Linked DNA regions of Oryzias latipes. The protein of the gene in region 4 interacts with the protein of the main gene of each other region in a pairwise test. Links are inferred from orthologs where the notes say so. Each region holds a gene or a part of one and is shown on either strand. Other genes may lie near its edges. The genes, in order: stx18, rtraf, nup160, disc1, kifap3, immt and srgap2.

Region 1 (4,074 bases), on a different chromosome or scaffold from region 4:
CCAATCCTCTTTTGATCTATTTTCATAGCGTTATTATCTATTAATTATGATTTTGCCGTTTTTAGCCTAAATCAGAAAACGTGTGTCGTTGACTAGGACATAGTTTCTGCAGAGCAGCATGAGTTAATTTGAAATTCCCCTTCCCATCACACCTTTGTTTACACACTCTTTTGCTAGCTTACAGCCCCTCACACCCCCAACCTAACAGTCGTACAGTTTTGAGCCAGATTCCGGCTTGGACGTACATGGATATATTTATCTCCAAGTGGATGCATCTCTCATCTTTCTAAGTAGGAGAACTTGCACAATTGGTGGCTGACTGAATACTTTTTTTTTTTGCCCCACTGTATGTCCTCCATCATGAAAAAAATACCACAAGAACATGTAAAAAACTCGCACAAACATGATTTTCATCCTTAAAGAAATAGGGGGGGGAAAAAGTGTTGCCTGTTTTCTGGATTTTCCGCTGGATCTGCGTCACGAAGTTTCTTCTGTTCCTGCATCTTCTTCTCCGAGATGTTCAACACAGAAATAACTATCTGTGTCACGGCACTAAGTTTCTCAAATAACATCTCTTCTTCTGCAACATTAAAAAAACAAAAGTTTGCTATTAGTCAGAAATGCACAATGTTACTAAACTTAAAAAAGAAAATGCATGTTTCCTGACCTTTGTTACTCTGTCGTTTTATCTCCTCCCTTGCCTTCGCAAGGAGGTTTTCCCACTTTTTGTTGCAGTCGGAAACTGTGCGCTGGACCTGTGGAAAAGCATCATTAATAGCTTGGACTATCTCCTTCCAGGCATGCCTCTTGTCTTGAACCGATACTCCGGTGCTTTGCTTTCCTCTGACTATGTTCTGCTTTTTCTGTATTAACTGAGCCAGAAGAAGGCATTCCGGGTCAGTCCAGTTGGGTCTTCTCTTTCTGCTGGTGGAGCCCTTCACTGGCTGTGGAGGCATTTGTCTGCGAGGAAAACACATAAAACAACCATTAATAGAACGTATTAAACAAAATAGAAACTCATGAAAACCCTTAGATTTTTCTCAAAATGATATTCCCCTTAACGCTTCTAAAACCCTATAATTTCAGATTAGTCCTTTTCTGTTATTGTTTTTCCATTATATACAACCTAATTCAAAGTGAAACAGTCAAATGTTGAGTTTTGGTTAAGTTCCGTGTTGATTTAATGGGAAATCAAATCCTAATCGGTGCAAACCTGTTTAAGGCTTTTCCTTTTTCCCCTTTGAGGGAAAAATCCGCTGCGGCGTCTCATGTTGATGACGTCACCGGTCGATGACGTGTCGCCTTGTTGACAGCGGCGCGTGCACAGAAATGGCTGTGGACATCACTCTGCTTTTTAAAGCCAGCGTGAAGACAGTGAAGACCAGAAACAAGGCGATAGGGATCGGGTTCGACTCGACGAAAGATGAGATTTTCAAAAGAAGCAGAACGAAGAGCGGCTTCACCCAGAGAGCGAAAGAAGTGGTGAGTGCTCCTCTTAGCTAGCGATAGCATGATGATGATGATGATGATGCTAGCTCATTTGAAACGATAAAACTTCTCTACAAACATTGCCTTTTATATGACAAATGTACACACCACTACTTTTTCTTTTAAAAACGTATAAGTACAACCATTGTTGGCTGTTTTTAAGTCGTTTAGTACCCCAACTGTTTAATTTTAAAAAAGTTGCTGCTTTTAAATTAATACCTCATAAAAAACATAAACTTGACCTAATTTTTTTTAATCTACAGACTTTGCTGTGCAATTACTGGAAATGTGAGCATTAATGAATGTAGCACTAGTTTTTCCCTAAAAGACTACACGTTTTTTAGATGAACGTAGTTGAAAAAAAAATCTTGAGCGATTGATTGATGTTATTAACAGACTAACTACCCTGTAAAAAATACTATAGCTAAGATACAGATTTCATATAAAATAATATTAATTTGAAATCTTCATCAATTATATACATGTAATTAATTTTAAATACATATCTGTGTACCTGTATGCCTGTTATGATGATTGATAAAAGTGGAAAATCTAATGTTTCAGAGGACGATTAGTCATTTTGTTGCATTCAAATAACAAATAAATGTTTACATTTGTTTCCTTATGGGAGCTTGAAATCATTAACACCTGCAACAATAAAATAATTTCCTGCAATGAACGCACCAACACAGTGTTTGTGTCCGAATTCCCACCCTAACCCCTAACTACTGCAAAACTATATAGTGACCTGAATTTTCAAAGCAATTCGGTCACCATGCTCACTACTGGAAATTCAACTGGTTAAACAATTTTACACTTAATCGCAGTCCTGCAACCAATCTGAGACTCGGATTTAGTAGTGACATGAGGGTGGCGTCCGCCACGGAAGTACCAACCGTTGTAAACATGATTTCGAAGGAGACAATAATATTTGCGGTTTGTGTTCGGACTCCAAGACGGACATTTACAGGAACAAAGCTGTGAAAACAAAACGTCTGGAGCAAGATTTGCGGGATTTTCACAGCTTTCACTTTGCACACTGAGCCTCTTCCTATTACAGGTGGTAGACAACAGTAAATACGCAGAAGAAGAAGAAGAATCTTCTCCCTTTCGCTACCTGCATGTCTGCTGCTTTTCCCATGTGGACAGTTAACAGTCGACATCGTTGAATATCAAGCTTGTCTACTTCAGCTTTAAAAGAGTCATAAAAAAGAGCTAATTTTGACTTTCCCTTACGAAAAAATCTGAGACGGAATTTATTAAAAATTATTTTCTCAATGCATTCATTCATCTTCTAATCTGTTTGATCCCTTTCGGGGTCACGGGGCTGCCAGAGCCTATCCCGGCGTCTTGCGGCCGAAGGCAGAGGACACCCTGGACAGGTCGCCAGTCTGTCACAGGGCCTCAACCACTCACCCATGCACACGCACGTTCACACCTATGGACAATTTGGAGGGACCAATTAAGCATGTTTTTAGATGGCGGGAGGAAGCCAGAGTCCCCGGAGAAAACCCACACATGCACGGGGAGAACATGCAAACTCTACACAGAAAGGTCCCCCATTGGTGTTCTGTTTCTGGTCCCCCAGCCGGGACTTGAACCAGGACTTCTTGCTGTGAGGCAAGAGCGCTATTATTTTCTTAAAGCAAATAAATAAAATATCATAAATTTCAGAAGGCCTGAGCAGCTGCGGCTGCTCTCTCATCTGCCCCCCCGTCAGCCTCCTGGGGGTCGGTGCAGTGGGTGGGGTCACTTCAGCCCCATGGGCCCTGCAACAGACTGGCAACCTGTCCAGGGTGTGCCTCACCTTAGCCCAACAATAACCAGAATGTGCTCTGGCAACCCTGCAGCCCCAAAAGCGATGTAGCGTGATAAGCAAATGGATGGTAGATCAGGACAAGGCCGCTTGGACCGATCCTCCACAGTGGATTTTTACTCCACCCCTTAACACATCAAATGGGTGAAGTGACACCTCAACCTCGCCAAAAGTCAGATTTTTTTTTTTACTCTGGATGCGCCACAACACCCAAATCGTGCTGCGACACTCAAAACGCACTGCTGCCGGTCTGCCTCGCTGCGCCTGACGCTACAATCACGCTGCCGGACCTCAGATCAAGTCTGTACATTGGCTTAACATTGTATGTCGCCCCCATTATAATTGCGTTCGGTGTGATAACCATCTTCAGAGTTATGGGTCTTTGAATCCAAATTCTGGATGTTCTAGACTTGGTGTAGGTCAGTAAAGAACACAGAAGGCGGAGGAAGTTGACAGCATGCTGAACATAAACTTTTCTCCAAATTTCCAGCTATAGATTAATATTCCGATAAAGACTAGTTTTTGGTGAAGAGTTTAGAAGACATCAGTGTGCACCCGTTTTTCACAGGGCAACACGGCCTTTGCTCTGCCCCAGCAGTTATTTATCTGACTTAAGCAGATGTCTTCAAATAAAACCTTGAAGAACCACTTTCACATTTCCCACGGGGGAGTAAAATCTTAAATGTCACCAACCATCAGCCTGAAGACGACATGAGAAGATCTGCACCAGCCACGTTTTGGTCGTGTACTTTTGTAGCGGCATTAAATAC
Region 2 (3,981 bases), on a different chromosome or scaffold from region 4:
CTTTAGTTAACTAACACGGTAGCCCCTAAACGTGCATCTACGACATAGACTTTTCACTGCAAGTGGTAGCTTGAAGGCGCGTTGCCGAGGGCGACGTAAACATAGCTGAACACTAAGGCCACCATTTACCTCCTTGCTCTGGTTGGCTTTGGTGATCGCCTCTGGAGACAATCGCTCCTGGATCAGAATGCGAATGGCCTGAGAATGGGAAAACAACACAAACAAAAAAAAGGCAAAAACTTGAGATAAATTAAGGATAAATCATTTCAAACTTGACTCAAATGGGGAATGAACCCTCTCTTCATTCCACCTTAAGCATGACCAGGTAATCGTCGTGTCGCTGGATCTTCAGGATGTTGGCCAGAGCCGTAACTCCTGCCTTGAAATCCGGAGAATTACCTGGAAAAAGAATGTGACAAAATGTAAAAAAAATATAACATAAAAAGTTTTCCAGTAGCAGAAGTGAAAACAGAGACTTACTGTCGAGGTTGAGGAGCGGATCCACCGCTTTGTCGCTGTTCCCGGACGCCAGCGGCTGACAGTTCCTGTACTTTTCAACTGATAAAATAAATCAACAACAAAAACGGTGATCCAACTTCTGCCCCCTGACGACCACAGAAAGTGGTGAATTATTTCAAAATGTAGCCAAGATTTTCACCTTGTGAGCCTGCAGTAACTGCAGACTACAAGACATGTCTAGAGTGATCTCAGTTTGGTGTTTTTTGTCTTATTTGACAGCAAAAACAGGGGGAAAATGAAAAAAAACATAAATTATTTGCAAATTATGTGCTTTATTGTTGCCCACAAACAGTTCTTCCTTCCGCAATTCCTCATTCTTGCAGAAGCTGACATGTTTGGGGCAGCAGCTCCACCTAGTGTCAAAACTAAGATATTTAATACAGGAGTTTTGTCTGGTGAAATAAAAAAGCTCTTTAAACAGAAATATACAATAATATGAAGTTAATGTAGTACCCAAGGTTGCCACTGGGGGACTGGTTCCAGAAACAAATTGATCCCTTTTCACTTCTAGTGTCTGCTAATATTTATGGCTAATATTTACTCATTTTATTGATGCATTTCTCTATAGACCTCATTTGATTGTTTTTTAAAAGTATTTGCAATCAAAACGGGGTGTTTACCCTGTAATTTCTCAACCCTTAAAGGGCCTTACTGAGCGCGCTCCAACAACTACCAACGTCCAACGTTCAGAATAATTCATTTTGTGGGCGAATTTGATGCTGCAGAGCTGAAAAGTTGGCAACAAAGTATCCCAGAAGAAAACCAAAAACACACACACACAGGGGTGATGCTAAATACTCCCCCACAGAGCTATAGTGTGTAACTTGGAAAAACATATACAAAACTTCACATTAGTTTCTTTTTACAACTGTTTAAAAAAACAAAATAAAACAAAAACGCTAAAAATAATCTAAAAGGGTTTAGAGAGACACAAAAATATGTGTCATTGCACTTGTTCAAAAACAATGATTGATGTTTCAGTATAAAGCTACCGCAAATCTTGTGGTCAACAGTCCAAGCAATATTTCCTCCTTTTATTTTGAAAAGGTGAGGGAATTAAGTCATTAGCAACTTACTATTTTATGGTAAATGTTCAGAATTAAATTTTTTCCGGGTTTTGCGTGATGCAGCTTCTTTTGTATTTTGTTTGTATAAAGAAGAGCAAAGAAAAAAGGGGTAGAGGGGATGATTTTAGGGTAACAGCAGTATCTCCCCTTCTTTGTTTTGAAAATAATTACTGGCTTAATCGCCCCTATTTTGGAGGGACTTCTGAATCAGACTAGTTGAATTTCCTTTTACTATCTCCATCTAGTGGTCATTGTTGAGTACTGCACCCCCCCACAAATGCTCCTGCCACTGCTGAATCTCACCGTTATCTCCATACTCGTATCGCACAGCCAGGCCAAGTAACCAGTCCACAGCTTCTTTCCTCTCCTCTGCGCCAAACGGACAGTTCAGGTCCTGCAGATACTGCACACACACACACAGTCAGAACCCCGAAGGTTCGGGTGGGGGGACGCTGCAGCACAGCAGACACTCACTTTCTGAAAGGCGTTGGACCAGTCCGAGCTGGGGATGTTCCTCAAGTTACCTCGGTCCTCTATCTTGTAGTGTCGGATCTTCTGGTCTTCCAGCCACACGATGCAGTTCCTGAACTGAGTCTCATCTGCAGATCATGTAGAAGCACTGCAGTCATCTGGTCAAAGTTCAACCTGGTTTACTTTGAAATGCGCATTAAGTACTAGTAGCTATGGGTTTTGGGTGTAGTTGGACACAGAGCCTGAAAACAATTGTATAAACTAGCATAGTGATGCACGAACGCAAACGTTTTAGAAAAACTAGCAAGCAGCTAAAAAAAAAGTTATAATTTCTTCAATTAAGTAGATCAAATCATGAAGCTGTCTACGCCGAATTAATTATGGTACAGTAAACTTTCTAAACTATAAATAGAACGACATTTGAATCTTTCTTGTTGCTATTTTGAACACATAACTTATAAAGTTGCTATTTTTAGAAGGGTAGTTTTAGTTCGGCTCCACAATAATGACAACGTCAGCTGGAAACGGGTGAATTTCTCCCCCCTTCGCCGTATTTAAACGTTTTCTTACCCGAACAATCGAATCCGTCGGGGTCGTGATAATCCAGAGCAGTGAGTTTTCTACGAAACATTTCACCTTGGAGATTTTCTGATAGAGAAAACGTGTTTTCACGCCGCAGCAAAGCTAACTACGCTAGTTTGCTGCTAGCTGACTGTTTGAGAATCTACGCATGCGCGACCGGAGACTGCAATCTGTAGGCCTACCTTTCAAAATAAAGTGACGAACTATTTTAGTGACCAAGAAAGAAAAAACAAAAGGGTGAATTTTTGAAATGAAAAGTCTTTATTGAACACAAGTTTTTTTTTATTAGAAAATGACACAAAACTACTGAAGACACAAATGAAATAGAGTTGTCAATCAAAGCACATATTTAGGTGAGCATGGGTTCAGAAAGGACGCATTCGTGGGCCAAGAGGCGGGGCTCTGTTGGGAGGCGTGATGGCGATATCCAGGTAATCCCCAATCTGGAACCGCTGAGACTGCAAGGTCATGGAGTCATCTGGACCCTTTCTGCCAGATATCGTACTGCCGATCTCTTTGAACCTACAGAACAAAACAGGTTCAATCAAAGCAAAAAACCAATTCACAGCTGTTTACGACAATTATACGTACTTGTACATTTTCCCTCTGAGATCAGGGAAGACTATAGCGAAGCTAAAGTGGGTCCCCTTTTTTCTGGCCTCTGGATAAACCTCCTTCACTAAACTGGTGAGTTCTTTCAGAGTGGCATCCATCCTGGCCAAAAAAAAAAAAAAAATGAAAGAAATAGACTCACTTTAGATTTCATTTGGACTCTTGGGTTAAAGTACCAGGAAGTCGGAACCAGTTACGTACCACGTGTAAATCTGCAGTTCACTTGAGGGAACATTTCCTCGAGCGAATTCGTCTACTCTGTGGTGGCGGCCGCTGTTGGTGGTAAAAACTCGCAGCAGAAGAGGGCAGGTCTGCAAAAAAGAATACAGGCATTACATTTAAACAGTAACTGAAATACTGGGTCCAAAGACCTTTTTTAAATGCTTTTATTTTGCAAGTGAAACGGAAGTGTACTGTGTGCCAGCTGCTGAATTCTATTAGACTGCCTGCCCCTCGCGCTATATTGATACATTTAAAACCACTGCATGTGATAAATGTATTGTACTGCATTTTTAAGTAAATAATTTACAATTATTTTACAATCCAAGTGGTTCCAGTTCAATGTCGTAGTATCGACTTTAGTCTCAGCGAGGGAGGGTGGGGAAGGGGGGGTTGAGGTTCTAGAACCCACTGATCCAAAGTTCGGGAAACCCGATTAAACAGGTTCGACCAAAAAGCACATGAATAAAGCCTCCCTTCAGAACATAAGCCCACGCGACCCAAATGTAGG
Region 3 (3,441 bases), on a different chromosome or scaffold from region 4:
ATCAGGTTAGCAGAAATTTTCCAGTGACAGAAATGAGTTTTTTGACTTTTCTAGTGTGCAAACCTGTCTGTGCAGAGTCTCATTTCTTCAGTCATGAGAGCACGTTCACACTGAATTTACACATTTGTCTTATTCTGCTGCAGCAAGAATGCAATCGCCGATATCCAGAGCATAATGCAGGATGTGCGGAATCCGACAACAGCCATGATGGTTCTGCTCAGGGAACTGGAACTGGAAACAGATTTGGAGCTTGGAGGGGAAGGATCTGCAATGCCTGGTAAGACGACTCCACCACTCCATCCACTCATAAGGGAATCAAAGATGTTCTGCCTGAACCAGACCTAGATAGACTCAGTCACCCCCTCCCCGTGGATTAGACTGCTGTAACATGTTGGTCCACATGAAGCAGCTGGACTTTGATAAGATCAGGGTCAGACCTGCCGCTGCCGCCGCCATCTGCAACATTCTTCCTGATGATTTTGGACAAATTTCTACTCCAGCAATGTTCAGATCCAGAACACAAACTGTTCTTTCTAGATCAGAGTCTGACACCTGAACCCTTTATTTTAATCTGGTTTTACATGACAGTGCTCCCTCGTTTTTCCCGGCAGTTTTGTTTTAAAAATAACCCACTTTTCTTAGACGGACATTTTTTTACACTTTTTTGTTGTTTAAACCTCAAAATTGAAAACCTTGATTGAAAATTTAGTCCAGTATAGAAAGAAAACAAAAGCCTTTTTGCAAGCTGAACTCTTTCTGTTCAAGAAACACAACACAGATGTTGATTGACAGTGAGTCACAGCCAATCAGGACGCAGAACAAAATGCACTGTTAAAAAAAAGATCAGGAAAACTGCAAGACTACGAAAGGTGAACTGCGATATTGTGAGGGACCAGTGTACATTTGAAATGCTAAATGGCTCATACTTGTACAGTCCTTTTCTGTGTTGCTTTGAGGCCCAGAATGCGTCTCTTTCACACACCAAACTGGCGCCAACCTATAACTACCTGAAGCAATGTGTGGGGTTTGGGGTCTTTAATACAAGCGGGAACTGAACCTGCAATCCTCTGATCAAAAGTTCACCGCTCTACCTCTGCACCACGGCCTGCAACATTTAATATGTCCTTTTCTATGAAGCACTTGTGGATGAATTTTGCTGTACATTGGAGCTGGCTTGTGTTAACCCTGTGCTGCGTCTTGCAGATCAGACCCTGAGCTCCAGGCTCAGCCTGTCTCGTCTGTACAGCAGCAGCACCGCCGTGTCTCTCTTGGGTCAGGCTGTTTGTCACATGGCCATGACCCGGGCCATGTTCTGCAGAGACCTCCTCATCCTGCAGAAGCTCTACCTGCACTTTGGAGACAATGTATGTTCAGCACTTCAAGAGCCACTGCAGAAGGAGAATGGATGACTGGAGGAAGCGTTTCTTGTGCTGCACTTCTTCATGCTCTCTCTTGTCTGTCCAGGTTTTTCTTGGAGGAGGGAACCAGCTGCTGCAGCTCCAGCAGGATCTGATCCCCCGGACGTCCCACCTTCTCTCCTCCTATCACCTACTCAAACATGTCAGCTGCAGCCTGGCCTCCTCTGTTGCCATGGACACAATGTGAGTATGAGCCATTGATTGTTCCTGAGAACTGGACTGAGTGAGTGGGACGTCACCCATAGAAAGTGGTTCACTTCTGGCCATATGAACGGCACCATGTTGGTGACAGCCAACATCAGAGAGCAGTGATTGGTCTGAGTCAGCCGTTTCTTTTCTTACCAATCAGGAGTGAGCTTGTTGGACATCCACACCCCTACCACTTGAAAAAAAGGAAATCAAATGTAAATCCTGGACATGCTTTTATTGAGGCATCTGATCGGTCAGTTTATTACTTAAATACCTCGTAATAAAGAAAATGATAATAAAAAATGAGGATCATGTTAGAAAAAGGTGTCAGATCAAGAATAGTTCTTCTGACCAGTAGAATAACAGCTGTTTATCTCTCTATGGGATTTTGGTTTCTTGGAACCAGCAGGTACTTCCTGTTTGAAACGCCATGGGGGAGGGCTCACTCAGTCCAGTTATACAGTCAATGGTCTGATCATTAAGGTGGAGGCTGTAGCTGGTTGGCTGTGTCTACAGGGATACCAATGCTTCATATCAGGTGTTTGTGGGTGGGGCCTTATCCTTATCCCAAGGAGGACCACGGTGCTGGAAATGATAGTTCTTCTGTGATCCGTTTCAGAGACGTGAACTTACAGAACCTCACAGCCCTGGAACTGACGGACACACCGAGCATCTGCTGCGGCCGACTGGGTCAGACACACGCATGTACACACAGACGCACGCACACACACACTGTGGAGCGCTGACAGAGTCTGAGCATGTTTGAGTGCCTGCAGCGTCAGTGTTGGATTGAAGCAGCTGCATGAATGTGAGCCCGGACCCTTTCATCCCACTGAAACCGTCCTGTGGTCAACCTCAGGCAGCGAGCCCTCCCCCCATCACTTAGAATCCTGTTCATTTTGTACTTCAAATGTAAAGTAATTGCTGGTGGGGGCCTTAAAATACGGCTGTGATGATGGAGAAGCTGTCATGGACCGGTTTGAGCTGCTCACCTCCTGCTGTGAGGCCTTCACTCAGACCCAGTGGGGCTGTTTCACCTCCTCCTGGAGTTGATCCTGATCTCCTTCCCCACAGGCCTCTGTCCTCAGACAGTGGTGGAGCTCTTCTACCGGACTGCAGGCAGGAAGCTGGTAGTCTCTCAGATGTTTTCCCATCAGCAGATCCCCTCCCTGCTCCTCTGGAGCACAGTCATCTCCAGCGTGGTCCAGCTGCTGGCTCAGCTGCTGTATCCTTCCTGTCTGCTTTAATCTGGTTTTTCATGACACGATGTCAAGTGCGTGTGCATGCGTGTGCACAGCAGTCTGTCACTGGTCTTAACAGCTGTCTCCCAGTTGGCCCAGTAACCCTGGTTTCCAGTTCCCTGAGTGCCTGCTGGCTGGCTGTCAGTACCTGCAGTTGCAGGTGAGTGCACACCTGAACCATGGGGAGGAGCTGCTTAACACTTTGTGTGCACGTGCACACACCTGTATGTGCGTGTGTGCAGGAGTACGTGAGGCTGATCAGCCCCTGGTGTCAGGTGAACGTGGGCTCCTGCCGCTTTGTTCTGGGTCAGTGTTACCTGGCCAATGGGGAGGGGCAGAAGGTGAGTCTTAGCGTGATGAAGACCCGCGACCTGCTGGGACGTCCCGCTACTTCACTTCCTGTCTCTTGTCCAGGCCCTGCAGTGTTTCCAGGAAGCGGCCTCCGAGGTGGAGAAAGAGGACTTCCTGATGAAGCTGGTGGCGAGCGAGGATGAGGAAGCTCCACCCAGAATGCAGTACTACAATAAGGTCAGAACCCACAGGTGGAGCACGCTCCACCCTCACCCCCGTCCTTCCAGAGTCCCAGCTGACTG
Region 4 (4,127 bases):
AGCATTTCTCTCATTTTGCCTTTTTCCCATTGGAGCAACTGGCACTAAAAATAAAAACAAAAGTCACAGTTTTGTCATTTAAAAACTCTGAAATGTTCTCTTTTTTTTTAAAGCATAAAGCCATTTTTTTCCATCAAAATTGCCTGTTAGATCTTTCTCTTTTGTGCTGGATTGATCCACGCTCGTCCTCATGTCACATTTTAAAACCCTGTGTGGCCCACAAGTGAAATCTGTCATCTATCAGAGCAGGACCATTCTGCCACCTAGTGGCCATTTGTAGAACTATAAATATTTAAGAAAAAGTGTTCATTGGAAACATGGAATTTCAAAAAATGAAATTAAAAAAATAAGAGAAATTAAAAATAAACTTCCTGCCCTGGAGAACTTTGTCATTGGGGTAAAATAAAATAAAATAAAAAAATACAAAATGAGAAAAGTATAAACTGCTGAAGCTTGAATCTGAGGTTAAGCCTGACATCTGCTGGTCAAACTAGGATAAGTTCAAGTTTACTGGAATTCTTCATGAATACATATGTTTGTTTAAGCGCGTAGGAAAATGTCAGGCGTCATTTTTTTTGTCTTGAGAAGTTTCTTCATGAAGCTGTTGTGCTATTTAAAAAAAAAATGAATGGGATTAATAAAGAAGTAAAAGAAATGTTTTATTTTAAGAGTTGTACAAACTTCATAATCAGCCCATACAAAAAATCTGACATAAAATAAAAGGCTTTTTTTTGCTATAAACAAAAACAATTGAGACATTTTATCCTTATTTTACAAAAAATTAAAGTACAGTTTGTCAAACGATTTACAATACATTTTCATTTTTTGTCTTAGCTGCAAAAAACGTTTGTTTGTTAGTGTTCAGATAAAGTTTGTTTTTGTCTTTTTTTATTGCCAGAGTTGAATAAAAAATAAAAACAGTCTCTGCAGGACTAAATGGGAGAAAAAAACATGACTTCAGTAAAAAAAAAAGACTTTCTGCTAAAGACAAATGGGAAACTGGTCTAAAATGAGATAAAACAGGTGTTGAAGTGAGTGTTTTTTTCAAAGAAGAGGCTTCACCACAGCAAGTTTTAAAGCAGACCCAACAACTCCAGAGCTTAAAGAAGTGTTCATATAAAGGACCGTATCTACTTTAACTGAGAGAACTTTTAGAAGGAGAGAGAAGAAAAACAACCCCTTTCTGCTCTGGTGGTGAATCAACTCAATAACGAAATGATTAAATGGAACAGAAAATATTTCCATCAAGTTTTCAATCCATCTTTTCTGCACGGAGGCAGTTTTTGACACCTTCAGGACAACTGCTCAGATTATACTGAAGGAAAGTCTGATCCTTCCTCTTTTCCTGGCCGCCAGGCTGGTTTCTGAGCCAAAACCAGATCCAGATCCCAGCCTGGAGGAGCCAGAACCCCTCCTCCCTGGACCAAAGGACTCCAGTTTATCAGCGAGCAGAGCTGAATGAAAGGAGCTTTGGAGAAGTGTGAGGAGGAGGAGGAGGAAGATGAAGACTCCCCCAGTCAGTGCAGAAACAATGGGGTTGTTTTAGCATGAGCAAGGCGCGCTGAACTCTCATAAGTGCGTTCAAAGAGCATTTTGGCCCCTAAATGTTTGAAAACAGCGGGCGGAACATCTCCACATGTCCGTCAGCTGATCGGGTCCCCAAACAAAGACAAACGGCGGCGGTTAATCCGGTTATGGGCTGTCCACCGCCTTCATGAGGCGGTCTGAAGGAGTCAAATTCCTGAACACGTAGGAGCTCCTCAGGACGCATGACGCACGGCTAACGGGTTCCTTTCCTGATCGATGGACTTTCCGCATTTGTTTCTCCACTCTGAACAGAAAACGCCTTAATTTGAAGTTTTCAGTTGTTTTATTTCCGCGGTTTGAAGAACATCAGAAGAGGATTATCCTAGTTCTTTTTTTTTAATCCAACCATCTGTTGACGCGCCGCTCCAAACGGGCTTCTCTCCAGAGAATAAAGTTCAGAATCAGACCGGATGTTCAACCGCTGGACAGTCGGTGTCATTTTAGGACTGAAGCCGCGTTCATGTGATCCACCGGAATCAAGGAAAACCAACACAAGTTCACGGTCCGTAACGGAAATGAGATCAGGCCTTTTCTCCCCGCTGCGCTTTTTCTGAAACATGGTCGCTGCGCGCGCGCAGGGATCCGACACCGAAACGCGACCGACGGCATGTTTGCGGGACTGATGGGACTGCAAAACCGCAGCAGATCGGCGCTCCACCGATTCGAAGCCACAGGAGGTAAATATGGAGAAGGGGGGTCCGCTAAAACCTGCCCGGTTCTGACAAGGCTAGCCGGATCTCTCTGGAACAGCTGCGTCCGAATGAAGAACCTGACAGATGTTTCAAAACTAGGAGTAGAAACAAGGATTTCTTCCCACGTGAAGCATTTCTTCTGTCATCAGAGTTTCTAGCAGAGTTTGAGAAGCGCAGAGAGGTTCCGGCTCCATGACAGCCAAACTATTGGACCGCTGACAGGCCAAGAAAGAAAGGCGCGAGGAGCAGGGAACAATTCACAGTTTAGGAAATGTACTATGAAAGTTTAAGTACAAAGTATTCATTCATTAAAAGTAAAATAAATACAAAAATTTAGAAAAAGAACAAACGAGTGACAGTTTTCAGTATAAAACTTATTTAACTCAGTACTGTTCATTCAGTTTTGCATAAATAATCTAAATAAGAATTCTGGATTGTAGTTATTAAAATCCAATGCAATAAAGAAATCTGTAAATCATGAAAAGGACAAATATTAAATTAAATAAAAAACACTTCAAAGAAATGTTTGTTTTAAAAAAGAGAGAAACGTTTCATTTTATAGAATTCCAGTTTTTCATTAAGCGTCGATAGAAGTGAATGTAACAGGTTTAGTGCAATAAAACTGCTCTTTAAATTTTCAATTACTTCAAAAAAGTAACTGAAGTGAATGTAATAGAGTAAATGTGACCTAGTTCAGGCTATGACGCCCATCAGTGACTAATTCACATGAAAGATGTTTCTATGATGAATCTGCTCCATGTACACAGACGATAATATGTTCTTGTTTCAACCAAACCCACCTGATATGTGAAAGCTGCCGAGTCTGCTGCAGACGCAGACGCTGCTGCTGCAGGCACTGCTGCAGACGCAGGCGCTGCTGAAGACGCTGCTGCTGCTGTAGACGTTGATGCTGCAGACACAGGTGCTGCTGCAGGCACTGCTGCAGACGCAGGCGCTGCTGCAGACGTAGGCGCTGCTGCAGACACAGGTGCTGCTGCAGACGCTGCTGCTGCAGACACAGGTGCTGCTGCAGACGCTGCTGCTGCAGACACAGGTGCTGCTGCAGACGCAGGCGCTGCTGCAGACACAGGTGCTGCTGCAGACACAGGTGCTGCTGCAGACACAGGTGCTGCTGCAGACACAAGTGCTGCAGACGCAGGCGCTGCTGCAGATGCAGGTGCTGCTGCAGACACAGGTGCTGCAGACACAGGTGCTGCAGACACAGGTGCTGCTGCAGACGCAGGCGCTGCTGAAGACGCTGCTGCTGCTGTAGACGTTGATGCTGCAGACACAGGTGCTGCTGCAGGCACAGGTGCTGCTGCAGACACAGGTGCTGCTGCAGACACAAGTGCTGCAGACGCAGGCGCTGCTGCAGACGTAGGCGCTGTTGCAGACACAGGTGCTGCTGCAGACGCTGCTGCTGCAGACACAGGCGCTGCTGCAGACGCAGGCGCTGCTGCAGACGCAGGCGCTGCTGCAGACGCAGGCGCTGCTGCAGACACAGGTGCTGCTGCAGACACAGGTGCTGCTGCAGACACAGGTGCTGCTGCAGACACAAGTGCTGCAGACGCAGGCGCTGCTGCAGATGCAGGTGCTGCTGCAGACACAGGTGCTGCAGACACAGGTGCTGCTGCAGACGCAGGCGCTGCTGCAGACACAGGTGCTGCTGCACACAGGTGCGTCTGCAGACGCTGCTGCTGCAGACGCTGCTGCTGCAGACACAGGCGCTGCTGCAGACGCAGGCGCTGCTGCAGACACAGGTGCTGCTGCAGACACAGGTGCTGCTGCAGATACAGGTGCTGCTGCAGACACAGGTGCTGCTGCAGACACAAGTGCTGCAGACGCAGG
Region 5 (4,132 bases), on a different chromosome or scaffold from region 4:
TTTCTGTGTGGCATTGTGTGGAGGGATGATTCTTTTTGTCTTTTTTCTCACTTTTTCATACCAAAACTAGTCAAATCATTAATCGGTGCTCGCTAAAAGGACAAAAAGCCCTATAACAATCAAGTGGGACTTGTCTGCATGTTTAGTTTAGCTTAATGAGTCTTATAGTCTGAAAAGTATATTCCTTTTTAAAATTAAAATAGTTTTATTTTTCTTCAACCAAAGAGCCACAATAGAGGCTTTAAAGAGCCACTTGTGACTCCACAGCCTCAGGTCACTGTCACTTTAGGAGCTTGTGGTATATCTGGAACAAAAGGAGGAACTTGGTTGGAACATGTGCACTTGGTTCAGCAGCTGCACAGGGGCTCAAAGAAAAGCTCTCCAACGGTCATCAGCACCGCCCAAAAGATTGTTGACTGCTCTCTCCCCACCTGGAAACTCTCCACAGCTCCAGCTGCCTCAACAGAGCGCAGAATATCTTTAGAGACACATCACACCCCAGACATATTAAGTTCTGTTTGTGCCAAAAATATATGGGTCAAGCAGAGTAAGGACAAAAAGACTCTAATACAGTTTTTACATAATCCATAAAAATGTTAAATGTGGCTAGGAAACATTTAAGCTGGACTTCCGCTAAATTGTGATACAACGGACATTTTCTTCTTCATTATTATTATTATTATTATTATTATTATTATCTGAGTTTAACACATATTGACTATCATGTTTTTTTTTAGCAGTAGTCCATATAAAGCAACAAATTGGTTTAATTTCAAGTTTTAAGCACTGCCCAATGTACTTCTATGTTTTACTTTTTATTTTAAGTGGTAGGTCTTTACCATGGGTTGTTTTTAAGGTATGACAATTAATGATAAAGATCTATCTATCTATCTATCTATCTATCTATCTATCTATCTATCTATCTATCTATCTATCTATCTATCTATCTATCTATCTATCTATCTATCTATCTATCTATCTATCTATCTATCTATCTATCTATCTATCTATCTATCTATCTATCTATCTATCTATCAAAGCACAGTATAACATATAGGGGGGATTTAATGAGACTGAACAAAGTATTGTATCTTACAATTAAATTTGCGACAGCGGCTCGAATTATTTTAAAAAGCTCTCCTTTACTGACTCAAGTTGTGTTGTGGACATTAAACTGTGCCCTATACAATTGTATGTGTAAATTGTATTATTACACATTACTTTCTGCTTCTGATCGTATTTCTTTTCCAGCTGTGAGGATTTGGATTTGAAATGTTGCCTTAAAGTCATTACTTAGGGTCTACATTCCCCCTGTAAGTTATAACTCAGGGCACCATTTGCCCACCGACGGCTAACCCTCTAGCTTTGTATTATTGTATTAACTGCCGCTATCATTGACAGTCTGTGACGGGCAACCGCTGTGATTTCGGAGTAAGCTCAATCAGATGTGATACAACTATAGAAATAATAAAAGGGTAAATTAACATTTACAAGAAAATGCAGGAAGACACGCGCTGCCTCAAACGGTGAGTTAGAATGAATGAGTTATTTTTTGTCGATCGATCATCGACCAAGGCCTAGAAGAAAGAAGACGAGCTCTGTAATATTTAAATGAAAAAGTGATTGATTAATTATATCAGCAAGTATTTGTTTTTTGTAATTCGCAAGAGTCGTCACTTCACGAAAGACTATAGCCTAGCAAACACGTTTATATTTTGCTTAATGGGTACGGAGAGAAAGGCGTGCTGTTATTTATTTGCTTTCTTTTTGTTAAATGTACACCACATCTCGCAATTAAAGATGACTGTCGCTGCTTTGCACAAAACAACAACAAAACGCATGTTAAATTGTTACCTGAGGGTTTTTTTTTTTAATGAAGGGGCTTATGGGAAATCAGGGGGTTGCTAGCCTAGCTAATGAGCTAAACATGGAGAGACTAGTTTAAACGGCAACAGATAATATGTATTGTTTTACTGCTTCAACAGCTGGTTGTTGGTTTTCAGTCATAAGACAGTCAGCGTCCGCGAGTGTTTGTGATACACGTCGACGATGGAGATTCCAATAGGCCATCCTTTTCCCGTTGTCCAGCAATGTACGACAAGATTGACATCATCATATTGGGAGGGGCAGTAAATAACGACACATGGCTTTGCAGATACAAAATAAGACCCAGGCCGTGGTATCATGGCCCGTCCTGCTATCCCCACTGCCAAAGTGGAACAGCAACAGCCACATGAAACAGTGGTTCCACAGGAAACACAAAGTAAAACATTGGAGTTTTGGATAATTGGGTCTGGAAAGTATCACTGCCCAGCTGGGGTCAGCAACTTTCCTGTTGGCCGAGCGATGGATCAAGGTGGCATGCTAATGGTTCAAGTCTTTTTTCAATGATCATTTGGAACCATCTCCCTTCAGTCTCCCTGCAGTGGAACTGCAGTGGATCCATCCACTACTACCACACTCACCCCGCCCGGTTTGTGTTTCTGTTCGCAGGGCTCTCTACCTACTAGGGGTGTAACGATTCATTTGAACAATTCGATTCGGTATTTTTGCCAATCGATTTCAATTTGGCTTCATTTTGAACAATTTGATTCAATGTTATTCACTGACCTAAAATCAATCCAGAACATCTTCAGCTAACATTTCAACCAGTGTGACTCAGAGAGAAGCACCTGGTACTGAGCAGTGAAGGGGGGCATTCCAGAAAGCAGGTTATGCGAGTTACCACGGTAAGTTTGAGGCTAAGGAAGCGGATAACCTCATCTTTCAGTTCCAAAAATGGAGGTATGTTTCAGGGTATGTCAAGTTGCCATAGCAACTCTTGCTCTGAACATAACCTGGTCTGGAGCTGGTTTAGTTGAAGGTTACTTTGTTTTCAGAGAGGTGAAGGAGCATGGCGAGTCCATTTGAAGATGATTTAGTGGATGAAGAAGCTCAGATAATACTTTTTCCACCATGAGAGGGCGATAAGACCATGTATGGATGTTCAAGATTCATGATTTGTTTTATTGTCATTCCACATATAGTATTTGCAGAGAAATACACAGATGAGACGAGATGTTGTTTCTCACTAGCATGACAGTGCAAGAAAGCAGCAATAATAAAAAATAGCAATAAAATAACAATCCAAGACTGGAAAAAAAACAATGAAATGAAATTAATAAAAAAGGAAAGATAAACTTTTTTACATTGATCTAACTTAATTATTTGCTTCAGTTAAGATAAATCTTTTTTTTAGTTAAGGCTGCTTAAAAATAACACGTAGTTATCAGACTTTTATTTTACTTTCATTCAATTTAATTCAATTAAGTAGATGTAACTTTGATGCTGCTGTTAGAGCGGCACCGCAAGGGATTGTGGGATACCATTTCCTTTGCCTGTCTGGACGGATTTGGTTTTAAGTGTGGGTTTTTGACCAAGGCTGTTTATTTGTTTAGCTGTTTTACTGTGTTTTGCCTAGTTATTATGTCCTACTATGGTTAAGTCTCTGCACCATGAGTGAGAGGGAGGGAGAGGATGATGAGTTTATTTGTTCTCTGTCATTAAAGATTATAATTATGTGTTTGTTTTTTTCACAAGACATTTTAGACTGTTAACATTTTGACCTCATATTTGTTCAATTTTGATCCCCAGCAAAGTGACGTTAGGGAGTCTGGATGTCCATCCCACAGAGAAGGCTCTGGTTGTTCACTACGAGGTTCAGGCTGCTGTCTTAGGAGGTGGTGGAGGTCCTGTGCTTGGTGAACGCAAAGAAGGACAAAAAATGTATGTTTCTTGTTATCTTTCCTATATTTAAATCAAACGGATTGATTAACTTGTTAAGTTAGTTTGGATTTGTTTAAAAGTTGTATCCACCAAAACTGGATTAGCATTGTTATACATTTTTGCAATGATTAACAATGAAAAATTAGCTACTTCTAAATGCATCAGCCTCTACATTCTCCAAATGGAAATAATAGATGGAGTCAGTTATTTGTGATGCTTCAATGTTTGCCCTTCTCTCCATTTAGAATCCGTTTGAAGAGCCTCTCTCCTACCACAGATGTGGCAGCGTTGGCTAAGAAAGTGGTGGAGGAGTGCAAACTCCTCCCTGCCTCCCGTTTGCCACAAGTGGAGCAGCTCCTCTACTACC
Region 6 (3,500 bases), on a different chromosome or scaffold from region 4:
AATAGTTGGACTAGTTAAGCAATCAAACGCCGTCTCTTGGGCCGTGAATGGCAGAGAGCTGCTGAAGGCGGCCTGTTGGGGGCGGGGGCTTTATGTCTGGTGTTTCGCTGAGGAGAGGAGGGAGACGTTTGAACGCCGGCATCAGATTGTCTCAATGCAATGATCTGTGTTTTTTGTATTTCTCCCCGTCAAATAAATATGAACAATAACATTTATGGTAGCGAGTTAAAAGCGACTTTGCTAGTTACCAGTAGAGGGACATGCAGAGGACCGAGATGCCCACTACTATTTGGAGAGAGTTTTCTGTACGTTCAGCACATCCGTACACCCTCCAGAGCGTCTCCACAGCACAAGGCTTTTCTCTCTGAGTTTGAGTTTGACAGTGGTGGAGACAGAGAGCCGGAGGTGCGTCTGAGCCACAATGACCAGCTCCACATCAGTCCATCCAGTTAAAAAAAAAGGGCTTAATGCCAACATGTCAAAATCCTAATTATTAGGTCGCACAATAAATCGCAAATGTATCGTTATTGCGATATCAATCTTTGCAATACGCAATAAATGGTTACCTTAAACGTGCTAAAACAATCTTATGGCAGCTTGAAGTATTCAACGGATCAAATAAATCCCTTTATGCATTTGACCAATCAGATGGACGCTTTTTAAGTTAGATACCCGCCTCCCATGTAGACTAGTTTCATTTGGAGTATAATTGAAGTCATGTTGACTCATATTTAAGTTAGTAGTTAAATGGAACAAATCGCACGTTTTCCTCATAGAGTTTGAAGAGCCATGGTATGTCAAAGAGCGCCTTACTTTTGGGTGTAAGTTGGATGCAGATTTCTCCTCATGGTTCACAAATCCAGCAGATCTTCAGGCAGAGTCAGGCCCAAACGGGGGGAACGCCCTGCTTTCAGCTGCTCACAGATGTTGGGAGGTGTTGATCCCAGAAGCAGTGGTCATTCTTCAGCCTCACTTAAGAAGCCGTCTCCAGGACAATGATGGTGATAGAAAGGATCTGTATGCAGGTGCAGTCGGCTGAGGTGGAGTCCAAGATCGTGTCCCAGTACAGTGACCTGGTCCAGGAAGCCAAGCAGCAGTTCCAGAAGGAGGTCAGCAGCCTGACTCCAGAGATCCAAGCCAACTGGAAAGGCCTCAGTGAGTCAGACTCACCTTCATCCTCTAACTTGGACATCTTAGTACCACAAAAACCCGGCAGACTAAACCAGCTGAATGGTTGTAGAATAAGGAACTGAACCATTTTGTGTGTTTTTGTTAGCGGGGAAGCTGTCCACGGACGACCTGAACGCCCTGATTGCCCACGCTCACCGCCGGATCGACCAGCTGAACCGAGAGCTGGCAGAGCAGAGAGTCCGGGAGCAGGTCCACATCGATGCGGCTCTGCAGCAGCAGAAGCTGGAGGACCAGAGAGTGCTGGAGAGGGCCGTCAGCTCCTCACTGCAGCACGTGAAGGAGGAGGCCCGGCTGGAGCAAGAAAGAAAGGTTTGAAGCTGCGGCGCCTGATGCTGAGCCTCCGCCACGCCACACACACACGAGCGCCTACATCCAGACCCGTGCTGCAGTTAGGTTTAGAAGATCCTTTCATCAGTTTGGTCATTTTAAAAAAAACAAGAGGTGCCTCCTGCTTTTTGAGATCAAAGACTTCAAGGGCGAGCATGAAGAAGAAGATCTGGCTGCAGAAAACCTCCTTAGTTCTTGTTGTCACACCCAAACCACTGTGGTGGAAGAAAAGTGCTGTTAGAAAACAATTAAGATCCATCATGAACTAACATCAGGACAACATGGATCCGGTTTATAAGATCAACAAAGGTCATCCATCAGAAGCAAATAGAAAAAGTATCAGTAAATACTCCTTTATCAGCGTTTTGAATGATAGAAAATGTGTTTCTGCAGCTTGTAATCTTCTCTTTGGGATGAGTGATGGATGAGGAGCTGCAGCTCCTGTTTTTAGGACTTCTGTTCTTCACATGTGAACAAAACCCAGCAGACAGTCTAGAAGAGACAGATGGGAGAATCTCAGCTCTGAAAAGCAGCACCAGAGCGGCGCTTCACAACCTGTAGCCTGTGAGCCACACCCCTGAGTTTACTGCTGAGGCGCGTCACAGTTCTGCTTTGAGAAATGATTTTTCAGACTTTTTATGCATCTGGGATTCAGTCCCAGATTTGACAACGTTCTGCCTTTTTCCACCAGACCCCGGAGTGAAACAGGAGCTTCTGCTGAAGAGCAGAAGGCTTTATGGAAAGACATGTCTGATGGTCATCTGACCACCACTGCAGACATCAAATAAGAATGTGGTATTAAAAAAAACCATACAGAATCAAGAATCCAGAACTCAGTAGCCATAAACCAAAAAAACAAATCCCTCCTTTTTTTCAGAATAAAGCAATATTTCTCTCTGCTCTTTTTAATTAACTGGCTGTGTTCATAGAGGTGAGCAGCGTGAGAGCGCTCTCTCATTATTCCATGTTTGCACAAAGGTATGGATTTGTACTCATAATGAGCAGTTTCTTTGTACATAACGTCTTAAGTTGAATTCAGATTGACGTAAAAAAATGGGGAGATTGGAAGTTGTCAATTTTACGTCCTTAAATCTATAGACGGTCTGTGTGAACATGCCTCAGAACAAACTAAGAGTTCAGGATAAAAGGAAGACGGTGAAGTGCAGTCGTCTTCTCGGAGTGCAACAGCACCACCAGGTGGACCCAGCGGGGACTGCAGCCCCTGCTGTGTTGGCAGGGTGCCGACCAGATGAACTGTGATGCCGATGAGGCGTATTTGTCTGTGTGCAGATGAACGAAGTGAGGGAGGTGATGGAGGCGGAGATGAGGACTCAGCTGCGGCGTCAAGCGGCGGCTCACACGGACCACGTCCGAGATGTGCTGAAGGTCCAGGAGCAGGAGCTGCGAGCTGAAGCTGAGCAGGTGTTCGCACTGAATCACACTGGACAGGGACATCAGCCCTACGGGGCGCGTTGGACTAGCCCTTGTGCTATCTGTCCCACAAGACGGATAGCACAAGGGCTAAGAGCTCAGAGACTGGCCAGTCCATGAAGACATTAGCAGCTCTTCATCATCATCAATCAACAAAATAAAGTAAACCATAAACGTATAAGAAGTAGAAGAAGCAGATCTTAAGATTTGTGGAGAATATTGTCTTTGATTTTTTTTTTTTTTTTTTTTGTCCACACCATCCCTCCCTGATTGTACGGTTTGAGTAGGGATGAATACTGGTTATCTGGTACTGACCAATACTTTCCAAACCGCTCTGGTGCTTTAACTGTCCCCAGAGCTTGAAAAATTAACAAAAAAACCCCAAATATGCCAGTATTTTCCAGAAACATGTGATTAAGCAGCGTGACGGAGGTGAATTTGCCTAAGAGGCTTTATCTGATTCTTTCTGGCAGTCTGCGTTGCATCTCTGTTTTCACACGCGCAGAAGTTAACGCGTCGTTCACGTCACTCTTACCCATCAGGCTGCTAAT
Region 7 (4,256 bases), on a different chromosome or scaffold from region 4:
AAGGAGTGCATGTGTCTGTGCTTTAATGCTGTAGGGGAAAGAGAAGACGGCAATTTAAAGAGTATTTTAGACCTAACCTGTCAAGTACCGTATGTTTGGTTCATGAATACCCCCCCAGTCAGAGACGTCACAGCAGGTGTTTAAGTTAAAACCCACTGCGGCACCAGAGTCTGTGTTAAATCACCCCTTAAGGTTCCTCTTTTCTGCTTCATTTCATACACACTTGTCAAATGTTAGCCTCCAGGGCTCCTTGGATTGTCCTTTTCCCACTCTACCTGATGCACTCCTCCTCCGATGGGCTTTCCGATTCTTCGTTTTCACTGTCTTCTAGCTCGGGGAGATCTCCCCACAACAGCAGATTCAGACCTGCATAGAAATTTAAAGGAGACTTGGAGTAAATGTTGGAAAAAGAAAAAGAAAAAAAAAAAGTTTCCTTATAGGCGAGGACTGAATACCGACCCGTTGCATCCAGTCTGTTGAGTGTGGATACAGCGTCACTATTAAACATCCAGAAGTGGCCATTGTTACATGAGAGTAGGCATGGTTTACAGGGGGCCACGACGTGATAGCCCACAACGTTTCCACTGGGAACGGGAGACAAAAAAACCAAAAAAGTGATTCAGCAGTTTGCTGAAAAGTGCCAACTCCACCAGAACGTTTTTTGTTTTGAACTATAGAAACAATAGAAGCACTATAAAGCTGAGCTGCTGTGCAGAAAGTGAAGAAACATTCCGATTAGATAAATGACAGAAAATCCTTTAGAATCTGAAAAATAACATTATTAAGGGGGGATTCTTTGGGTAAAAAAAAATAAATACATAAAACTATATTTATTTTAAACATATAGGCTCAGAGAAAATTTTCTAGAAAAAAACCACATGTTCTATTACACTACAGCTCTTTTATAATCAATAACCTGTTTAATGATAACTAAAATGAAGCAAATTGTGATTTGTAATATTAAATAAGTGTGTCTCTGTTGTGCTAAAAGCTGTATGTGTCATTTTATGCCAACACAAACACACCTTTTCAGGTAAAGGAGATGTTTACATACCATTTCAGACATGCAATGTCTCTCAGTTTGCATTTGCAGCTGTCAGTGGAGTAGCAGCTGGCCACAAAGTCAACAGTTCTAGAGGAAAGGATGGGTTTCACAAAGACATGATCAAACGCACTCATACTTTCATGCAGCAATCCTGCTGAATATAGTTTTTTTTTTAATTGATGGTAAATCGACCCCAACCTGGCAACCACAACAGACATCAAAGCAGAGGCTGGCAGCACAGCTGACGGTTAGCGCCTACCTGTTTGGAGGTATATCCGTGGAAAAAAGCTCCACTTCGGTGTCTGCAAGCAGCACCGCCTTCATTCCTCTGGTGCACAGCAGGTTCTCACAGAATATACAGTTCACCTGGGCAACGCATTTGTTTTTAAAACTTGCGTTGGAAGTAGACATGGTAGTTTCTGTTACGAACGAACGCTCGGCCCTTTTGTTTGTTTTACCTACAGGCAGCAGGTAATCGAAACTATCGACTAGTACCTTGACGGTTGAATAACCATTCAGCTGTTAACTATTAAAATTTACTATGTTTGGATATTTCTGGCGTCCTTGTTTAATTGTTAGCTTTTTCGTAGCTGTAAACGGAAAGACTTTACTTTGGCTAACAGATCAGACAGATTAGCCGCGAAAGATTTCTAAAAAGGAATTTAGTTGGCGATGTTAAAACAATATTTCCGACATCTATAAAATAACCACCTGTTTAAAAAAAAAAAGCTCAACGCCCATTCAGAAGTGGTTAATCGCTAACTAAATAGCTGTCAGCTTTGTTTACAACTTCCTGGTATATAAGGCCACTTCCTGAAACAGTTTTAAAAGACCCGATACCTGTTTCTGATTGGATGCCTGGTTTGGTAGCTCGATGCTATTGGTTGTCTTTGACAAACAGTCTAAATGTGATTGGTCAAAGAATTTGAGTTGTAAGTCTTTCTCCCAATGAGATAAAACTGCCATCGGCACTTTGGGATTTTAACATGAATGGATTTTATGAAAAAAATTATTTTTATTTATCGTAGCAGAAGTGTGCATCTAATTTAGAAATATAAACACAAAACAATTTAGGAATGTTATTTTCTTCTTTTTGAGATGAAAAGCTTATCAAATTTAGCTACATTTAAACTGCAATGTTGGTAGTTTTTATGCCAAAACTACCAACATTGCAGTTTAAATGTCTCTGTTTGCAGGTTTATGTGCGCAGATGAGCAGCACACATGTCTGCATTGCCTGACCTGCGCACTGGCGCTGATCTGCAGCCATCCATTCCATCACCACTTGGTTTCCTCTTTCTCACTTCAGGAGAGGAACGAAGACAGCACTTCAGTTTGGACAAACGGAGGGGCTACAGCAGCGCGCAGTCTGGGAAAGTTTCAGAGAAAAGAGAACTTTGCCAAAGCTCTGGTGGATTTGGCCGCTAATATTTGTTTTGGGAAGGGAATGACTCTGTTTTCGCCCAAAATAGTTTGCACCACAACCGGTTTTGAGGAGGCGGCAAGGCGCGGCGGCGGATCCAGCAGCTGCAGCAGCAGCGCCAGGCTCACAATGCGTCCCGAGTGAGCCGAGCAGCCAGGGAGACAATACAGATTCACGGCGGGCTTCAGTCCTTCTCCTCCGTCTTTGAAACCAGTTCCAGGGTGGACACCCCTTAATCCGAGACTGATTTAGATTTTCCCCACCCTTGTCTGTGGAGTTGAGATAAAGCTGATCTCTCAACGACGACGACTGGTTCGATCTCCAAACTCAGCCATGACGTCTCCAGCTAAATTCCGAAAGGACAAGGAGATCGTGGCCGAATATGAAACTCAAGTCAAAGGTAAAACTTTTCCAAATGTTTCTCTGCGGGCAGCAGATCAATCGCCGGCGCGCTAAATCTTTTGTATCAGTGTTTTCCCCTGACTTTGATTGAATGTTCTCCTCACTTCTCCCCCCAAACGCACAAGTGTGACCTGCCTTTGTATTTTTACCAAGCATCTGAGGAGGCTAATTGTCATCAAGCCGCCAAACAGGTCATTAAATAAAAAAATAAAATGTGAACCATGGAAGAGATCTGCAGGAGGGCTTGACTGCTGGCGGCGCAAAGATAACAAAGGCATCGGAAAAACGCGCAGACAAATTGCGCGGTGATCTCCAGATGTTGCTCCAACAGTCTGGAAAGAGAAGAAGAAGCGTAGGTGGAGGTGGGTGAAGGAGTGTGTGAGAAGACACCCCGGGAAAATGGGGTTTCGACACGGAGCAGGGCAGGGCGTTTTCTTCCCCTGTCTCCTCCTGCGTGTCTGCATCATGTGCGTCATGCGCTCAGAACGCAACCAAATGATCAATTTTGCGTAAATGGGTTGCTAATTGATCACCGATGATCAGGCGATCATGTCTGATGATCAGGGGGGCAGATTGTGGATAGGAAGAGGGGCGTTCGTGAGTGTTTGGAGGCTGTTTGGTCTGGCAGGCACACTGGATCCATTTGTCAGCGTAAGTCTGAGTGCTTATCAGATCTGTGTGGTTATGTGGTTCATATGTCAAGCTGGTGAAGTAAAGGAAAGGGGGAGGTCAGTAGATTGTCCTCCTGCACACAGCATGTTCACTCTGCTACTAGAGGGCCAGATCATTTTGATAAGACTGTCTGCCTCTTTTCACCCCCATTTAGGAGCAATTCCTCGGCCCACTACTCACAAATTTGCAGCCCTCTGGCTCTCCTGGTCTCCCGTGGAGCAGCAAGTCACAAAGTGGTTTTTGAAACATCTCGGTTTTAATCGCCTCCCAACCTTATCTCCACGGAGGGGTGCAACGATTCATCAATTTAATCCAACCAAATCAATCTGTCTTAGGCGAGTTGTTAAAGTCCCAATCCGATCATCTTTTGTGGGCTTTTAGTTATGATGATGTTGTTTTTAACCCCTTCAAAAAACCTGTCATTTTTTGGGGACATAGTTTCTGCAGAGTACGCCTTCCCCCATTTCCCATCATCCCCTTGTTTACACTCTCCTGCTAGCTTACAGCCCCTCACAACCCTAAACTAACATTAGCCATGCAACAAAAATGAGCAATATCGAAGCTATTCCGCTGTACACTTTGGCGCCAGATGTCAGCTCGGATGAGGAAAACAAAGTTGTGCATGGATTTATTTGTCTGCAACTGGATGCATCAGAATGGAGCAGAGCAGAGGGATTGTTCAATTGTAGCTTCAACATCACAGCTGTAAGCTTTT

What was found.
Region 1: the proteins of disc1 (region 4) and stx18 interact in a two-hybrid assay, tested with the Homo sapiens proteins (2 studies listed by BioGRID and IntAct). The link is inferred for Oryzias latipes from reciprocal best matches to the Homo sapiens genes DISC1 and STX18.
Region 2: the proteins of disc1 (region 4) and rtraf interact in a two-hybrid assay, tested with the Homo sapiens proteins (2 studies listed by BioGRID and IntAct). The link is inferred for Oryzias latipes from reciprocal best matches to the Homo sapiens genes DISC1 and RTRAF.
Region 3: the proteins of disc1 (region 4) and nup160 interact in binary tests that used the Homo sapiens proteins (3 or more experiments, as listed by UniProt). The link is inferred for Oryzias latipes from reciprocal best matches to the Homo sapiens genes DISC1 and NUP160.
Region 5: the proteins of disc1 (region 4) and kifap3 interact in a two-hybrid assay, tested with the Homo sapiens proteins (2 studies listed by BioGRID and IntAct). The link is inferred for Oryzias latipes from reciprocal best matches to the Homo sapiens genes DISC1 and KIFAP3.
Region 6: the proteins of disc1 (region 4) and immt interact in binary tests that used the Homo sapiens proteins (3 or more experiments, as listed by UniProt). The link is inferred for Oryzias latipes from reciprocal best matches to the Homo sapiens genes DISC1 and IMMT.
Region 7: the proteins of disc1 (region 4) and srgap2 interact in a two-hybrid assay, tested with the Homo sapiens proteins (2 studies listed by BioGRID and IntAct). The link is inferred for Oryzias latipes from reciprocal best matches to the Homo sapiens genes DISC1 and SRGAP2.

The regions. Positions count from the first base shown.
Region 1 is NC_019863.2:30,760,718-30,764,791, forward strand, and holds the start of stx18 (syntaxin-18), read left to right. Parts: upstream 1-1,274; 5' UTR 1,275-1,290; coding exon 1,291-1,482; intron 1,483-4,074. Other genes in the region: uncharacterized protein LOC101155681, read right to left, coding at 448-580, 668-956. UniProt on the Homo sapiens protein: Syntaxin that may be involved in targeting and fusion of Golgi-derived retrograde transport vesicles with the ER.
Region 2 is NC_019860.2:16,861,878-16,865,858, reverse strand, and holds the start of rtraf (RNA transcription, translation and transport factor protein), read right to left. Parts: upstream 2,801-3,981; 5' UTR 2,689-2,800; coding exon 2,628-2,688; intron 2,186-2,627; coding exon 2,061-2,185; intron 1,990-2,060; coding exon 1,890-1,989; intron 559-1,889; coding exon 481-558; intron 400-480; coding exon 311-399; intron 199-310; coding exon 130-198; intron 1-129. Other genes in the region: histone deacetylase complex subunit SAP18, read right to left, coding at 3,005-3,161, 3,231-3,353, 3,453-3,562. UniProt on the Homo sapiens protein: RNA-binding protein involved in modulation of mRNA transcription by Polymerase II. Component of the tRNA-splicing ligase complex and is required for tRNA ligation.
Region 3 is NC_019864.2:4,341,703-4,345,143, forward strand, and holds part of nup160 (nuclear pore complex protein Nup160), read left to right. Parts: intron 1-143; coding exon 144-277; intron 278-1,203; coding exon 1,204-1,364; intron 1,365-1,464; coding exon 1,465-1,601; intron 1,602-2,226; coding exon 2,227-2,297; intron 2,298-2,681; coding exon 2,682-2,832; intron 2,833-2,938; coding exon 2,939-3,008; intron 3,009-3,090; coding exon 3,091-3,189; intron 3,190-3,262; coding exon 3,263-3,376; intron 3,377-3,441. UniProt on the Homo sapiens protein: Functions as a component of the nuclear pore complex (NPC). Involved in poly(A)+ RNA transport.
Region 4 is NC_019873.2:28,410,448-28,414,574, forward strand, and holds the start of disc1 (disrupted in schizophrenia 1 protein), read left to right. Parts: upstream 1-1,327; 5' UTR 1,328-2,194; coding exon 2,195-2,264; intron 2,265-4,127. UniProt on the Homo sapiens protein: Involved in the regulation of multiple aspects of embryonic and adult neurogenesis. Required for neural progenitor proliferation in the ventrical/subventrical zone during embryonic brain development and in the adult dentate gyrus of the hippocampus.
Region 5 is NC_019875.2:21,195,307-21,199,438, reverse strand, and holds the start of kifap3 (kinesin-associated protein 3), read left to right. Parts: upstream 1-1,332; 5' UTR 1,333-1,497; coding exon 1,498-1,526; intron 1,527-3,633; coding exon 3,634-3,765; intron 3,766-4,010; coding exon 4,011-4,132. UniProt on the Homo sapiens protein: Involved in tethering the chromosomes to the spindle pole and in chromosome movement. Binds to the tail domain of the KIF3A/KIF3B heterodimer to form a heterotrimeric KIF3 complex and may regulate the membrane binding of this complex.
Region 6 is NC_019868.2:4,714,172-4,717,671, forward strand, and holds part of immt (MICOS complex subunit MIC60), read left to right. Parts: intron 1-1,025; coding exon 1,026-1,155; intron 1,156-1,276; coding exon 1,277-1,500; intron 1,501-2,808; coding exon 2,809-2,940; intron 2,941-3,500. UniProt on the Homo sapiens protein: Component of the MICOS complex, a large protein complex of the mitochondrial inner membrane that plays crucial roles in the maintenance of crista junctions, inner membrane architecture, and formation of contact sites to the outer membrane.
Region 7 is NC_019863.2:28,127,926-28,132,181, reverse strand, and holds the start of srgap2 (SLIT-ROBO Rho GTPase-activating protein 2), read left to right. Parts: upstream 1-1,456; 5' UTR 1,457-1,516; exon of another isoform or gene 1,517-2,343; intron 2,344-2,353; 5' UTR 2,354-2,800; coding exon 2,801-2,867; intron 2,868-4,256. Other genes in the region: protein FAM72A, read right to left, coding at 272-366, 460-584, 1,055-1,132, 1,305-1,456. UniProt on the Homo sapiens protein: Postsynaptic RAC1 GTPase activating protein (GAP) that plays a key role in neuronal morphogenesis and migration mainly during development of the cerebral cortex. Regulates excitatory and inhibitory synapse maturation and density in cortical pyramidal neurons.